Astyanax mexicanus: one gene and its partner. The protein of the gene in region 1 interacts with the protein of each later gene in a pairwise test. Links are inferred from orthologs where the notes say so. Each region holds a gene or a part of one and is shown in the gene's direction. Other genes may lie near its edges.

Region 1 (7,252 bases):
AAAAACAACAAAATAAACCTTCAAACAACTTGACTGTGAGACCATGACACAAATGTCTAAATTTAATGTGGTGACACATGAGGGACCTACTAACATTAGCAAGGTGGTAACAATGTAATGGCCGAATATTTTGCATATCTTAACTTATACTGTAGGGTAATTTACCACAGTATGACTTAGATAAAACTCGGATGTGAGAAATCTCAGAACATGAAATGATGACCAATGAGTCAGAGCTTAGAATTTAAAATATATTAAAGTTTACTTGAAAAATAGTTTCAGCATTACAGATATATAAAAGGAACAAAAATTAAAAGATATATATTAGAAAAGAGTAAAAGTACATCAACGAATAAAATCTCGATAGATCAACACATTCGCAACCCAGAGAGAGAAAGAGAGAGAGAGAAAGAAAGTGAGAGAGAGAGAAAGAAAGAGAGAGAGAGAGAGAAAGAAAGAGAAAGAAACTAAAGCCAGTCGAGGGCCAGAGAGAACTCCTCAGACTTCATCCAAGCAGTTATACATTTTGCAAATGACATGTGATTGGACAGAACTTATCACTATGATTGTGTCAGCAGAGTCCAGTTAACAGCATGTTGTCCAGTTTTAATGACGTGATCCGCTCCAGCCTGTCTGAGCAACAGGTTCTTATCATGATGTTGTTCAGCACTGTGTCCTTCATGAACACAGCAGACAGTCCTTAAGTGTCCTAAAGTCTGTGAGAAGATGAAACAGAGGAAAAGAGTGGATGGAAAGATCTTCTGCCCTGTGTACGACTTTACGGCGTGTAGAACAGGCAAGCGCTGGCTATCTGAGGAGAGGTCCTCAGCACTTCACTCAGATAGCTTGTTGTCTCCTAGTTCATATGCACTGGTCCCAGAACAGTAGTGAAGCTTCTCTGCCACTCAGGGTCACGTTCTCCTCACAGCTCTCATTGTTGATGAAAACACTCTGACCTTCCTGATTCCTGAAAAAGTAAAAACAACCTCCAAAGCCTTGTCATAGTGACAGTTAAAAAGAGAGCAGAGATCATAAGGTTATTAAGTGAATTATAAAGTGAACAGTAAAAATAATAACTGTATATATACATGTATAAAACATTTAAGAATAAGAGTGTGAAGGTGTGGTTATCTCCAATCACACCCTTCAATACACTACAAAGTTTTCATAGGATACCTTAGTCATTTTCTGTATCTGAAAAATCCTACAAAACAGAAAAGCCTACATTAGATAAAGAGCTGCAATAAATGACTATTTTGGTGGTCGACAAATCTGATGATTATGTTTTTCATTAGTGGATTAGACAACAATAATTTCTGCCATTCTGTTAATCCCTGAATGTAGGATTTAAAAGTCTGTTAAATATCCAGAAAATGATTAAAAGTGAAGTGCTGAAATTTTGTGAGTAAATATGTAATCTCTTGTGTTTGGACATTTAGAGACACAAACCAAATGGAGTGTAAACTGTGTAAATGAGCCCATTACCCCTCTCCCACAGCGTTTCTGACCCAAGCACTTAGTCAACACTAAAATTTCATTATATTTTTATAATCAGCACAAACCGTTGTTCAGATTGATTAAAATATTCAATTACAGTATTAATTTATTTTGCTTTTATTATACATTTATTAAAATGAGAGAAAGAGTTATGTTCTTCAGTTGTCCTCTAGAACCCTGGATAGTTTAACTGTTAATGAGTGCGGCATGGTTCATCCACGGTTTATTTTAAAGTTGAATATCAGTGTGAGGCAACATGAGACACTGTGTCCGAAACAGAAGCATGTGGTGTGTAGACAACTGCATAGTGAAGAAAAAACATTTTGTCCAATTGTCTCGTTTTTCATGTCTGCTTAAAAAAATAGATTGAATTATACCATTAGATTTTTACAAGATGCAAAAATGGAAACATCTGAATATTCCCTGACATTCTTATTATGCAAAAATAGAAAAATGTAAAAATGGATGAAAGTCCATTTCTTCACCTTACCAAATGGGAAAAAATAAATAATAAAGTTCACACTGAAGTTTACACTATTTTTAAACCTGACTTTAAATTTAGCCGATAAACAGTACTTTGCGTAAAACTACTGAAAGAAAAGAAAAAAAAGTGAAATTCTGACCTTTTGGCAAATAATACATTACTAACCCAACAGACTAAGTAGTTAATAATGCTCTTGTGCACTTATGGTTGTCAAACATGCCCCCATAGCACTGATGACGTGAGAGGATGTGGGTGTTTATTTTAAGACAGGTGCTGATGCACTTCAGTCAATTTGTGGCTTGTCTGGTGCATCATATATATATATATATATATATATATATATATATATATATATATAGATAGATAGATAGATAGATAGATAGATAGATAGATAGATAGATAGAAGTAGATGATAGAGAGAAGTAGATGATAGGTGGTAGCTCCAATGTGCAAGTACACCAAAGTATTGTGAAAGATGTGCTTAAAAATATACAAATATGAAGGAAAGAGTCTTATTATTATTATTTAGAGCTAATTATTGAGCGTTTTAAATGGTGTGATGATTTGCCTTTTACAGCACAGAACTTTTTCAGACAGGAAATTATTTTTACTTCTGAAGGAAGATAGAGTACAGAAATACCCGCCATTCAGAAGCGTAAATTCAGTGGCTTCTGGTAAGACCTGAGATCTACTGTACTTGACGCTTGTGTGAACACTGCATGTACTGATGCGTGTCTACTGATTGTGCAGTCACTTTCCACTACAGCTGAGCATATAAACATAAATTTACCTGAACACACTTCAATTTAAAGATCTATTTGCAAGCACGGGCACAATTTAAACCACACAGGTGGAAGGTGTAAAAATTGACTGTTGGCATAGTGCAAGATAGCAATGAGCATTGTGATGCAACTAGCACAGAGTGTAAGATAAGACCCATACTTTTATAAAAGTTTTATTCATTATTTTATTGTGAATTTCTTTTGTTTTGGGGTTGTATTTGGGTTATTTATTGAATTTAGTTCTCAGTTTGGATGCTTCTTGCAGATCAAACAAAAGCATGATATTATTTCTATAAAATTAAGTGGGTTTGTTAAAGTGGACCCCATGGATTTGTTCAAGCATTTTTAAATCAAGATAATGAATTCCATTAATAAAAAGTGTGGGTGGATGAGAGGGGGAACCAACATAAGAAATTTGCTGGGTATAGAGCCCTTAAGGTGACATTATGTAAAAAAAATGCATGGGGATGACTTATTAAGGCATGGATACAAGATATAATAATTAAGTCATAGGGTGACTTATTAAAACGTGGAAATGAGAAAATTAAGTTGTGGGGCAACTTATTAGTACTACAGAGCCCCTAAGGTGACATCATGCTAAAAAAAAAAAAATTTTAGCAGCCACGACTTATTAAGGCATGGGAACGAGATCCTAATGCGTGGGAACAAGATAATTAAGGCGTGGGAATGAGGTCATTAAGGTGTGGCCACGACTTATTAAGGCGTAGGAACAAGTTAATTAAATCTAGCTGGAGAGTAATAAAGCTTACTTTTCTGTAAATAAATGCCTATGGAAATAAAGGCCTTAGGATCTTGTTCCCACGCCTTATTAAAGTGTGGCCACGCATTATTTTTATTTTTTACATGATGTCACCTTAGGGGCTCAGAGATAATTAAGTTGTGGGGGCGACTTATTAAAACGTGGGAACATATAAGCTGCCCCAACACCTTAATTATCTCATTCCCATGCATTAGGATCTTGTTCCCACGCCTAAGGATCTTGTTCCCACGCCTTAATAAAGTATGGCCATGCATTATTTTTTTTAAATGATGTCACCTTAGTGGCTCCATATATTACAGACAGAAAAGAGCATTGTTATATGTTTCCATTATTGAAACATAATAATTTAAGCCTGAAAGGGTTAGGTTGTGGCTGCATATTTTTTTGTGATGTCACCCTAGGGGCTCAAAGATAATTAAGTTGTGGGGGCTGCTTATTAAAGCGTGGGAACATATAAGCCGTCCCACTATTAATTATCTCGTTCCCACGCGTTAATAAGTCGTGGCCAGGCTTTTTTTTTTTTTTTTTTTTTACTTGATGTCACTTTAGGGGCTGTGTTGAGGCACTGTGTATACTAAGCTGAAATCCAGCGGCTCTGGCCGCTGCTGGCCTCTGCTGGTGGGATCGCTGAGCTGAACTGAAGGGAGAGGCTCTGCTTCTTCTCCTCAGAAAACAAACATGGCGTCCACCAGCAGTCGTGAATGGAGGGCGGTGTGCGAGAAATTCGGGCGGGCGAACCACCTTTCCGAGGTGGAGTCCAGAAAAGATCCGGAGAACGACCCGTTCCGCTCCAAATACGAAGCCCGGGAGCTGTTAAAAGACATTTACTGCGCGCTGAAGAGCGTGGAGGCGGAGGAGAGCGACGGCGAGGCGGACGGGCAGGGCGAGCAGAGCGGCTCCGAGGAGGCGGAGTGTGGAGCCGGGAGATCCGTGCCGGGAGACTCGCGGGCCGGCCTCAGAGCCGCCAAGCTCGCGGTCATCGAGTACTACCTGGGCGTGAACCACACCGAGACCGAGGAGCTCTCAGCCGGTGAGGAGCATCTGATGAACTGCATGAAGCTGCTGGAGAAATGCACAGTGACCCCGGAGAACGTCTCTCTGTTCATCCAGGCCAGGGTAAAAACACAGTGTACACAAATTCATCACTCATACATCCCGAATATATCACAGAAATATCACTAAGGTGTTATTATCATGATGCACATGATTTGTAGTTACATTTCTGAGCATATTCTGTATAATGTCAGTCTAAGAAAAATATGCTACACATTTTATTACAAATAATGTAACTGGATGGAGTACAGCAGCACATTCTGAACACAAATCACTGAACTAAATGTGTACTAAATGAGATTATTTTACCAACAGTTGTTGTTCAGACTATCACTACTGATGCATGTTTTCTATCTATGTGTGATGTAAAAATATTGCAATTAAGACCATGTATTATAAAGATTTTTTGATGCAATATTTTGACAATATTCCTCAGCCATTTTTAATATCTTAAATAAATGAAAAAAAAATCCCACTTTTTTGTGACTCTGCTCTAAAACTAGGTGATACTGTAAAACTATTGTATCACAGTGTTTAAAGACATTTTCACAGTGCACAATATTTATTGCAATCAGGGATGCATCAATACTTTTTTTTCCCAACTGCGTAAGAGTACGAGTTCATGTATTTGTGTATTCGCCCATACCAGGAGCATTATTTAACTGTGTAGGTTTTAGTGTAAAGTAGTGCAATGCAACAGTTCATTTGTTAATTTTGAGATATATTTTGAGTCACATTATATACATTAGCATTTTTTAAAGAAATGAAGAAAGTATGCTTTTCTATTCTGATACCAGTATCAGTATTGATGCATCCCTAATTGCAATGCAGTAGCAAATTCCTTACAAACTGCTACCCAATTACACTCTCTTATATAGTTGGGTCAGTGTTCTTTAAAGGTCACCTTCCGCGAAAATCCGATTTTTCTTGTTTTTTGTGGAATACAGTAGGTCTCTCCGAGTTGAATGTGTACACCTGCACATTAAACTGTTTTGCAGCCCCCATTGTCTGCAGGAGCTAAGCAAAGAAGTCCCCCCTCCCCCCCTCCGAAAAACGGGTGAATTTTGAATTATCTTTCTGCCTACGTAGGCAGAAACTCACAGACCAGCCCACCTTGGCTCGAGAAACTCCCAGAGGCGGAGCTGAAGCGACGCAACATCACCGCTCATCAGTTAGGAGGTGGGAGGCAGTGAGCGGCAGAGCGGTGGAGGGGCGTCGCAGTGCTCCTAGCCAATCAGAGGAGAGATATTTGCATGCTGTTTGCATGTATGAATATTCATGAGCAAAGCTGGAATCCGGTCATTTTGGACACACCCCTAAAACAGTCCTTTAAAAAAGAGCTATACAGAGACACCTGAGCACTTTTTTTTTACAAAAACGGCTCACATGTCATTCATTCATACTAGAGACCACAACTAGACATTTTAAAATGAAAGAAAAAACGACGGAAGGTGACCTTTAAGCATTGATGATATTTCTGATATGATTTTTCACAGTATGATAAAATACCATAGTATGGCCCATATCAGCTCTCCTCTCTAAGTAAATGTATATTTCAAAGCAAATATATTGTTTAAAAAGTTAATACCTAGAATTATTGTGACAGGCCTATGTGTAACCTGACTCTTTGTCTTTCCTCAACAGAACCAGCTTGGGATCTTGTGGGCTGGAAGAGATGAAACTGAGAAAGCTCAAGGATTCTTGGAAACAGCAGAATCCATTTATGTAAACTACATGAAAGAGGTGATGCAGATCTTTATTTTATTAATCACCCACAATAAAACGTGGAAGATGTCTTCACTTATTCGCATACACAATGTTTACACCCAGTTTGTGTAGTGTAAGGGGATAGCAATATTAACTAACAGATTGAGATGTTCTGAGCAGGCTAACATAGTCATACCATGACACTGCGGGAATATCCAGCTCAGGACTAGCTACTTTTGGAAGCTCAAGGTAGTTGAAAAGCTGTTCGTCCAGATGAAACATACACTTTGCTGGAAATCTAGCTGGTTAACCAGCTCTTAACCAGCATATAGTATGCTGCATTTGATTTTCATTATATTTGGTTATAGGGGTGGGCGATATGGCCCTAAAATAATATCACAATAGTTATATTATTCGATAGTCACGATATGGCATTTTCATGAAACGATACTCTTGGAGATATGACAAAAAGCTGAATAAAAAAACAAATACACTAATGCAACAAAATAAAAAAATAATTTTATTATTGCGTACAGTGTGATATGGCACACCCTTAACTGAGATATTAAAAAATACAAGAATTGTATCAGATTTGTAACAGAAGTCAATGATCCAGAATATTATGATACTACATAAATCCAGGACTAAATGAAAAATTAATTATACTAGACAGATATAGTCTGTTTCTTGTAGATATATAATGGAAAACGCAAGAAGCGTGATTTTTTTATTTTGCTACAAACAGCAAAAAAAGTTGTACCCTGATGTGATCAATAGGAGTGATATGGCACAATATTTCAGGGCATAATATTGTTTGCAATATTCAAAAATGTTGGTGATATTATTGCGTACGATACAATATGGCACACAACTATTTGGTTATGCTGGTTGATCAGTGTGATTAGACTTGTTATTAACAATTACAATGAAGATTAAAAATACCAGTAT
Region 2 (7,900 bases), on another chromosome or scaffold:
ACAAAACATGTAAATAGGAGTTAAAGCATAGCAATGGCAATTAAAAAAATAACAATGAACTGTAAAACTATAAAAATACAGTTTATAGTCACCTTTATGACCATAACTTTTTAACAGTAAAGAAAAAAATGGATCATAGAAACCTATAGCACTTGTTATTGAAAATGTTTTATGGGGTGGTCTGAACAAATACTGCCTGAAAAGTCCAAATTATTATGTGGAATAATAGTTCATTAAAAATAATTTAATTTATGATTTGTTTTTACTAACTATGTAACTTTTACTCAAAGTACATTTAAAATTGAGTACTTTTTTACTTTTACTCGAGTAGATTTTTAGATGGGTACTTTTACTTGAGTAGAATCTTAGCAAAGTAAAGGTACTTTTACTTAATTACAATTGTTCAGTACTTTTTCCACCTCTGTATATATTAGTAAAACAACTACTGTAGTACAGTAACACATTAATTCCGTACTGTCCAACACTGCTAATTTCTTCCTACGTGTCTCACTGGTACACTGCTGTGTCTGTACCAGTGTGAATTTGTGTCATGATGGAAACTTCACGTTAAAGAAGAGGAAGTGAGATCTGCAGCTGACCACAGAAACAGCCTGCTCACACCTCAGATACAAAAATAGAACTTGGCTGAAACAGATATAGCCGTCTGACCACTACACAAGTTTTAACCAAGCAGGAACAATTAAATAACAGTCAGTATGCACAACAGAGGGGCACAATATACATTCAGTGACCTATTTTAGCGATCCGTAAGCTTGGTTTAGAGTGCGTCATTGTGTCTTTGCTATCGTAACAACGGGAAAAGTACAGCTTGCGTGGCTGGAAACACGCAGAAGACATGTACTGATTCTCTTAAGTAATCACGGGTGTGTTTTGGGTGTAATGTGCAATAAACCAGTCAGTGTGTTACTTACTATTCCCTTTAAGAGCCAGGTATGCTCTGACTTTGGTGAATTGGTATTTTAAAGGCGCAGAGCTTCTGCAGTTCTCAGCAGAGTAAAAACTGACCTGCATGTTCACGCTGTGAAGGTGTGCGAGCAGGACATTTACGGGGACAGCAATGTTACATTATTCTTAATTCTGTCCGTAAAAATAAACTGGTGATGGTGTGTAGGATAGCGATGAGCATTTCAACAGAATAAATAAACTAATTATGAAAGAGAGAAACTGTAAATTTGTCAAAAAACAGAAACAGACATGTAATTGAGGAAGAGGTTAAAAGATGGGGAAGAAAGCATGAACATCTGACAGTTGACTGTTGTCAGGGTTCAAATAAATTAGTGGCGCACCTGTGTTTTCCATTGCCAAGTTAGCAATACACGAGCAATACATTAGAAATTTACCCGAACGCACTTCACTTCCACACTACGCCTACTCAACGCAGATATATTTGTAAACTCTGTTGCTATTTTAACAATGCAGATGCAAGGCATGAAAATAGAGCATTTTAACAGAATAAAGAAACCATATATGAAAACTGGTAATGAAAACATGTAGGTAAGAACAAGGTCAGAAAGCTGCATTGCCAAGATAGTAATGAACATCTGATGGTTGATCGTTGTCAGGGTTCAAATCAATTAGTGTTGCACCTTTGTTTTCTATTGCCAATATAGCAATAGCTCAGAAATTTAGCTTAACACACACCCGTTAGTGTAAATATATTCACAAGCTTTGTTGCTATTTAAATGGAGTAGACACAAGACGTACAAATTAATCTGCTGACGGGGTGTAAGATAAGAATGAGCATCTTAACAGAATAAAGAAATAAAGAAACGTATTATGAACGAGAGAAACTGCAAATTTAAAAAAAAAAAAAAAAAAAAAGTGAGGTAGAGTCGCCAAGATAGCAATATACATATATTCACAAGCACTGTTGCTACTTAAACGACACAGATGTAAGTAGTGAAAGTAAGCTGTTGACAGTGTGTAAGATAGCAATAGACTTCTCAACAGAATAAAAAAAAAACAATTATGAAAGTTAGGAACTGTAAATTCTACAAAAAGAAGAAAAGAAGAAAAACAAAATGACATGTAAGTGAGGAAAAGGTTAAAAAGCTTATAAGAATGATACAAAATGAAAGAACATATGGAATTGATGACAATTTAGATGGGAAAATGTAAAAAGTTGCTGTAAAACACTAAACTAAACCAGTTTGCTATGTTTTTCAACTAAGTATAGAGAAGTGTATATACCCATTACTGCAGAACGAAGCAAAAAGTGATCCCACTACCTAAAGACAGCAAATGTGCCTTAAATGGACCAAATAATATATCTGTAAGTTTGCTTTCAGTCAATCTATTTATATAATCTATATTGCATACTGTAGGAGAGGACAATCAAAAAGCACTGCATGTATTCAAATGAATGATGACTGGTTAAAAGAATCAGAAGAAAGAAAGCTAGTTGGAGCTAGCTTATCTCAGCCCATTATGCATCTTAATTTACATATACGTATACAATGACCCGCTGATAATGTTGAATAAAGACAGGCTGCAGATGTACGCAGATGATACTTCTCTAAATGCATCATCTGATGCAGTTAATAGTTTAAAGGAAGAACTAAAGTTAGTACCAAATGGATCAGTGACATTCAAAGAGTGCTAAATATACCAAAAACAAAAACTATTATAATTGGGTGTCAATCATTTGGGGAACTACCTAATGTGAGTTCATGTTAAATATAGATGAAGAATCTATTGGGTGTTGTAATAGACATTAGATAGGCATAATAGATAATACATTAGCATAAATTGGCATAATAGACAATAAATGAGAAAACAAATTAAGACCGTTGTAACAAAAAATGGAAAAGATTTGGGGCCCTATCGTACAGTCTGAGCACCCAGGTCAGTTTCCTCGTCTGAGGAAAAAGTGCAGCGCAGTGCTGTTAAGATATCAACGCACCAAAGTCAAAGCGCATCTGTCTCTTAAAGGGAATGACTACTGGCACACTGATTGGTTTATTTCACGTTACGCCCAAAACACACCCATGGTTAATTAAGAGAATTAATACAGGCCTTTTGCGCATTTCCAGCCGCCCAATGCAATACCAAAGACACACCGACACAGAAAACATTACAAATAGTAATGTAATTCTTAGTACTATTTAATCTAGATTGCTGTGCAGCATTGTGGTCAAAAGCAGCAGAAAATAAAACATTTAACAAAGTTACAGATAATACTGTGCCCATACAGAACAAACATAAATAACAATCACTAAATTCACAAAAATAAATTATCCAAAGTGACTGAAGTTTGAAGACAGGAGATGAGCAAACGTTGTGGGATTCATGAAGAATAATAATCAGTGATTCTTGAGAATTGGGATAAAACATGTCTCACTAAGAAAAAAGTTAAATTAAAAAGTAAAAAAAAGTAAAAAAAAAAAAAAGTAAAAAAAAAAATTAACAGCATTTTCCTGAATAAAAAGAATCAAAGTTATAATCAGGGGTTCCTTTACAAAGATGTAGCGTTACTGTTTAGTATCACTAAGGACAGAGACTCGCAGATCAAAATGAAAATGAGTTTATTACAAAAGGGACTAGGCTTACAAGAGTAGTGAGGGACAGGCAACAGATACTGAATAGATTGGGCAAGGCCAAAGAAAGTAAATGGAGATACAAAAAGGGATTGGTAACAAATAGACAAAAACAACAGAATGCGTCGTAGAAGAGCTAGGAAAACTAGATTCAATACTCAGCAATAACAGAGGGGTATATATACTAGAAAAGACAGGTGGAGCCAATTAGTAGCATGGAGACTGGGAATGCCGTAGCATCTTGTGATCGGTGAAGTCAGGGAGATCTGACAGCCTTAGAACTGATATTTAGGGTTATTGGTAACACTTCACAATTAACGTTAAATTAAATAACAGTAATTACAAAATGCAGAATGCCTTACCTAATTATTAACAGACACTACTGTGTTTAACCATTTAACAATATTTTATTACTGTGATAAGTACTGTTAATTGAGTCCCTTATTGTAAATTAATATTTTTATTAATTTGAATATGATTATATGCTGTCCTATTGCCTACAAAAGCAGCTGTTTTTTAGTTTTTGTAATTTATGTTGTAATTAGCTAACTTTATTTCAAAATTAAAACCATAGTCATATGTTTATGACTTCACTTCCTGATATGTATGAAAAACAACTGTGTGTCTGTCCAAACTCATAAACATTGCCCAAACATCAGTTTCAAAGTTCAGTGTTTAGTTCCTCAATATAGTTCTGTGTGGATAATGAACTCCAATAAACTACATTCTACTGTTATAAAGCAGAATTAAAGCTGTTAAATCTGATGATTATGAGAGTTTAAAAAGATACTGGAGGAGCCTGTTGTATCTAAACCATATATAAAACCATTTATCACACATTTAGGGTTTGGTGTGCTCTTTCGACTGTTGAAGTGAGTGAGGCCTTCAAAGAGAAGGATGATGCAAAAAAAGTAGATGCAGGTTAGTCTTTTAGATTTTAAATTCCATCAAAATAATTAGAAATCAGCTAAAATTACATAAACTCTCCCCAAACCAATTTACTACACAAGACGAACATTTAAACCATAGTAACATCACATGTATGTCTTCAAAATACAGGAAAACAAGTACACACACACACTCTGTACGTGTGTACGCATTGCTCAGCAGAAGCGCTGGGTGATACAGGATGTAGAAATGGCGGAACTTGGAGCGGTTGCGTACGTCACACGCAAACACAAGAGGAAAGAGGTGTTATAGCAGATGAAGGAAGCTACAGGCTGGAGTTGCTTCAGAGAGAACGCAGAGAAACACAGACATGGAGGAGGACATCCGAAAACAGGGCTTGCTGTATCTGCAGCAGCAGAGGTTTGGGAAGGTAAGACCAGTTCAGATCAGTGTGAACTTTGCAGGAGAACGTTGGAGGAGGTTAGATGATCTAGATGTTCAGATGTTGCACTGTCAGGCTGGATTGATATATGACTGTCGATAATGTTAAACATGTTACAGCAGACTCAATAAACTTGGCTTGGTCTTGGCTTGGTTAAAGAAAGGGTTTTTCTTTGGGATGGAGAACTTCTTGCACACTTAAGCAAACCAAATGATTTAAGAGCTGATAGAACCATGGCAATTGAATGCATGCTTTAATTAATTAATTTGTTGACTGGTTAAATGACTCTTCATGTACTAGAAAAGTGTCTTGTAGCTGGTTTGGTCAGTTCTGTGTACTGTAGAATGTTTTCTGATTAGAGTATTCAAGACACTCTTGATAATTGAGGAGAACCTTATCTTCATTTTCTGTTCACGTCACTGTTTTTGTGCTTTTGGGAGTTATTTTATTTAAAGTGCCACATTTCATTTTTAATGCAATTATAATTATACAAAAGAAAATAAAAAAAATTATACATTTCTCACAACGGTCTTGTGAGAAATGGTTGGTATATGGTTTCTCATCTCAAGAACTTATTAAAAACTGTATAATACATTTGGTTACCTTAAATACTTTTAAATAACTTATTTATTTAACTTAAATATGTTGCACAGTTTGAGCTAAAGAGCTTTCAGTTCAGTTGTACCCATTGCATAAAGTGCTTTATAATGCTAGACTTCAATATTCACAGTTAAAGCAATGGGTAAACACTAAATCTGTCTACTCTGGACAATACTGGAGTGTTTAGTGTGCAGAAAAGTGATATGTCTGAGATGGAACACTGGAGCACCACTTATTGTGTGCTTCAATATTCCCCCAATGATTTGGCCAAACACCTTATCTGTTAATAACTGGAGTCAGTAATGGTCCACAATGAATCAAAATGATTTATTTCTCAAGTGCTAACACTGACAACTCAACAAACCCAATCATATAGAGTTAAGGACACTCAACAGAAAGCTTCTTTAGGGAACAAAAAGTGTTTTTTTTTTAATAGTTTTAAATTTGCCGTCGCTTTTGAACACAATGTTTTCAATGGGACATGCAGTGTACATGTACACGTAGTAAACGCAGTGAACGCTGCACAGACAGAGTGAAAACAGCATGGAGCAGTAGAGACAGCATTTGTTTATAGCTGTGGTAATTAGCGTTTCTAAATTTGCAGTCCTTCTCCCCAGGTAACAATGATCTGTAAGCCGTGATTTATATAATTTTTTGTTCTGTTTTTTCCAGTTAAGTAGAAATATTTTTTTTTGCAATGGTAAAAGATATCATTAAAAAGCATCAGCAGTTTAGCTTAAATAAAAGGAGTATATTTGATATCTCGGTCGGATCGAGACCGGATCACGCTCCTACCCTAAGCAAACCACCAGACCCAGATCACCTCCATTAGCTGGTCCAGTTGTCTTGATCCACACCTGCTCAATCGAACTGCCCTAACGGTTCAAATGAACCAGATCCTGTTTTAACCAGACTAAAAAGTGCTGGTTTGAAAACATCCTAAGTGAGCAGCAACATTAGTTGTGTGCTTCAAAATGTCCCCATTGATTTGGACTAAATCATGGGTTCTCAACCTAGCAAAAATAACGGTCCAAAAGAAAAAATAATATTTATTTCTCAAGTGCTAACACTAACAATTCAAGAATCATGGTCCAAAAAACTTCTCCATTTCTGATTAGCTTGGGTAGATGATTGCATCAGGTGGCAATGGCCATGTTTTCTGAAACTGATGATGTTTAATTTAAGTTAATTTGTGAGTTTCTAAGGATGTTCATTCAAAGTTAATCAAAATAACACGGATGATTTTTTACTTGTACTGTACAAACATATATACGATTTTTTACATAGTGGAACCCTCACACTGTCTGAGACATTTTTTTATTTCTGTACTCTGTTAAACAGGGTTAGACACTTAAAGGCCTTATTGTCTGTTTTTTCTGTTCTTTTTCATTTCACACCTCCACACTATTGATCATTAGTGAGGGAAGCTACAGTTCGCAGTTATTTGTGGCCTTTCAGCTCTGCTCTGTCATATGTTTTCTTTAATCTTTGCATTTTAATAATCACTGTGCTGCTCTTTATATAGAATCAAAGCATTGCAGTCCATCAGTTTCGTACTCAGTGTGAAAGACATTATGTGTTCATTGGTAAAGCATTATAGGTGTTTTTTTTTTTTTTTTTTTTTTTTTTACTCAGTGTAGAAGATCCTGTAAAATCCTGATAAGATCACATTATGAACTACTGCCTCTCTCTGAGAATGGGCCTGTGGACCACTAGAGAGTTCTTCATGGCCCACAGAATGAGAAACAACCTTAAACTAAACATAGGGCACTATCTTACACCCTAAGCAAAGCACGTTGCGAGGCGTGTTGACCTAGAAATAAGGTGTATTAAGGTAAATTTCTGGTGTATTGCTATTTTGGCAATGGAAAATGCAGGTGCGCTACTGACTGAATACAACCCAGGCAGATGCCAACAGGCGCTCCTTGTTTGTTACACACAAAAAGATAAGCTGCAGTGCACAAACCCATAGTGCATGCCTGTTGGCAGCTATGCAAACTCTACAATAAATAAACAATAAAAAAAATTATTGTGAAGAGCAGGTCAGTTTCCTCTGTTGAGAAGCTGCTGATAGACACGTTCAGGTACAGTAGCTGTGCCCCTGAAATAGCAATCTGCCAAAGTCTGAGTCCACCTGGCTCTTAAATGGAATAGAATGTGACATGTACTATACAATTGGGCTGGATATTTTCACTGATTTCCTGATTGGATTCTGATTCAGAAAGTCTTAATTTAATTAAGTTTCCAATTTTTGAATTTTATATTGATTGATTTAGGGATATATCAGTTGCAATTAGAGGTTTTGTTCGGATATGAAAAGAGATTTAAACTTCTTATCTTATCTTGTGGCTGTCTATATACAAGAATATCTCACTTACTTACTATTAAAATAGTAAGAGTTAGCCATTTTTAT

What was found.
Region 2: the proteins of kifbp (region 1) and dok2 interact in a two-hybrid assay, tested with the Homo sapiens proteins (2 studies listed by BioGRID and IntAct). The two-hybrid records come from large-scale screens. The link is inferred for Astyanax mexicanus from reciprocal best matches to the Homo sapiens genes KIFBP and DOK2.

What each region holds. Positions count from the first base shown.
Region 1 is NC_064414.1:42,927,100-42,934,351, reverse strand, and holds the start of kifbp (KIF-binding protein), read left to right. Parts: upstream 1-4,148; 5' UTR 4,149-4,222; coding exon 4,223-4,660; intron 4,661-6,241; coding exon 6,242-6,340; intron 6,341-7,252. UniProt on the Homo sapiens protein: Activator of KIF1B plus-end-directed microtubule motor activity. Required for organization of axonal microtubules, and axonal outgrowth and maintenance during peripheral and central nervous system development.
Region 2 is NC_064419.1:32,359,698-32,367,597, forward strand, and holds the start of dok2 (docking protein 2), read left to right. Parts: upstream 1-4,736; 5' UTR 4,737-4,815; coding exon 4,816-4,875; intron 4,876-7,900. UniProt on the Homo sapiens protein: DOK proteins are enzymatically inert adaptor or scaffolding proteins. They provide a docking platform for the assembly of multimolecular signaling complexes. DOK2 may modulate the cellular proliferation induced by IL-4, as well as IL-2 and IL-3.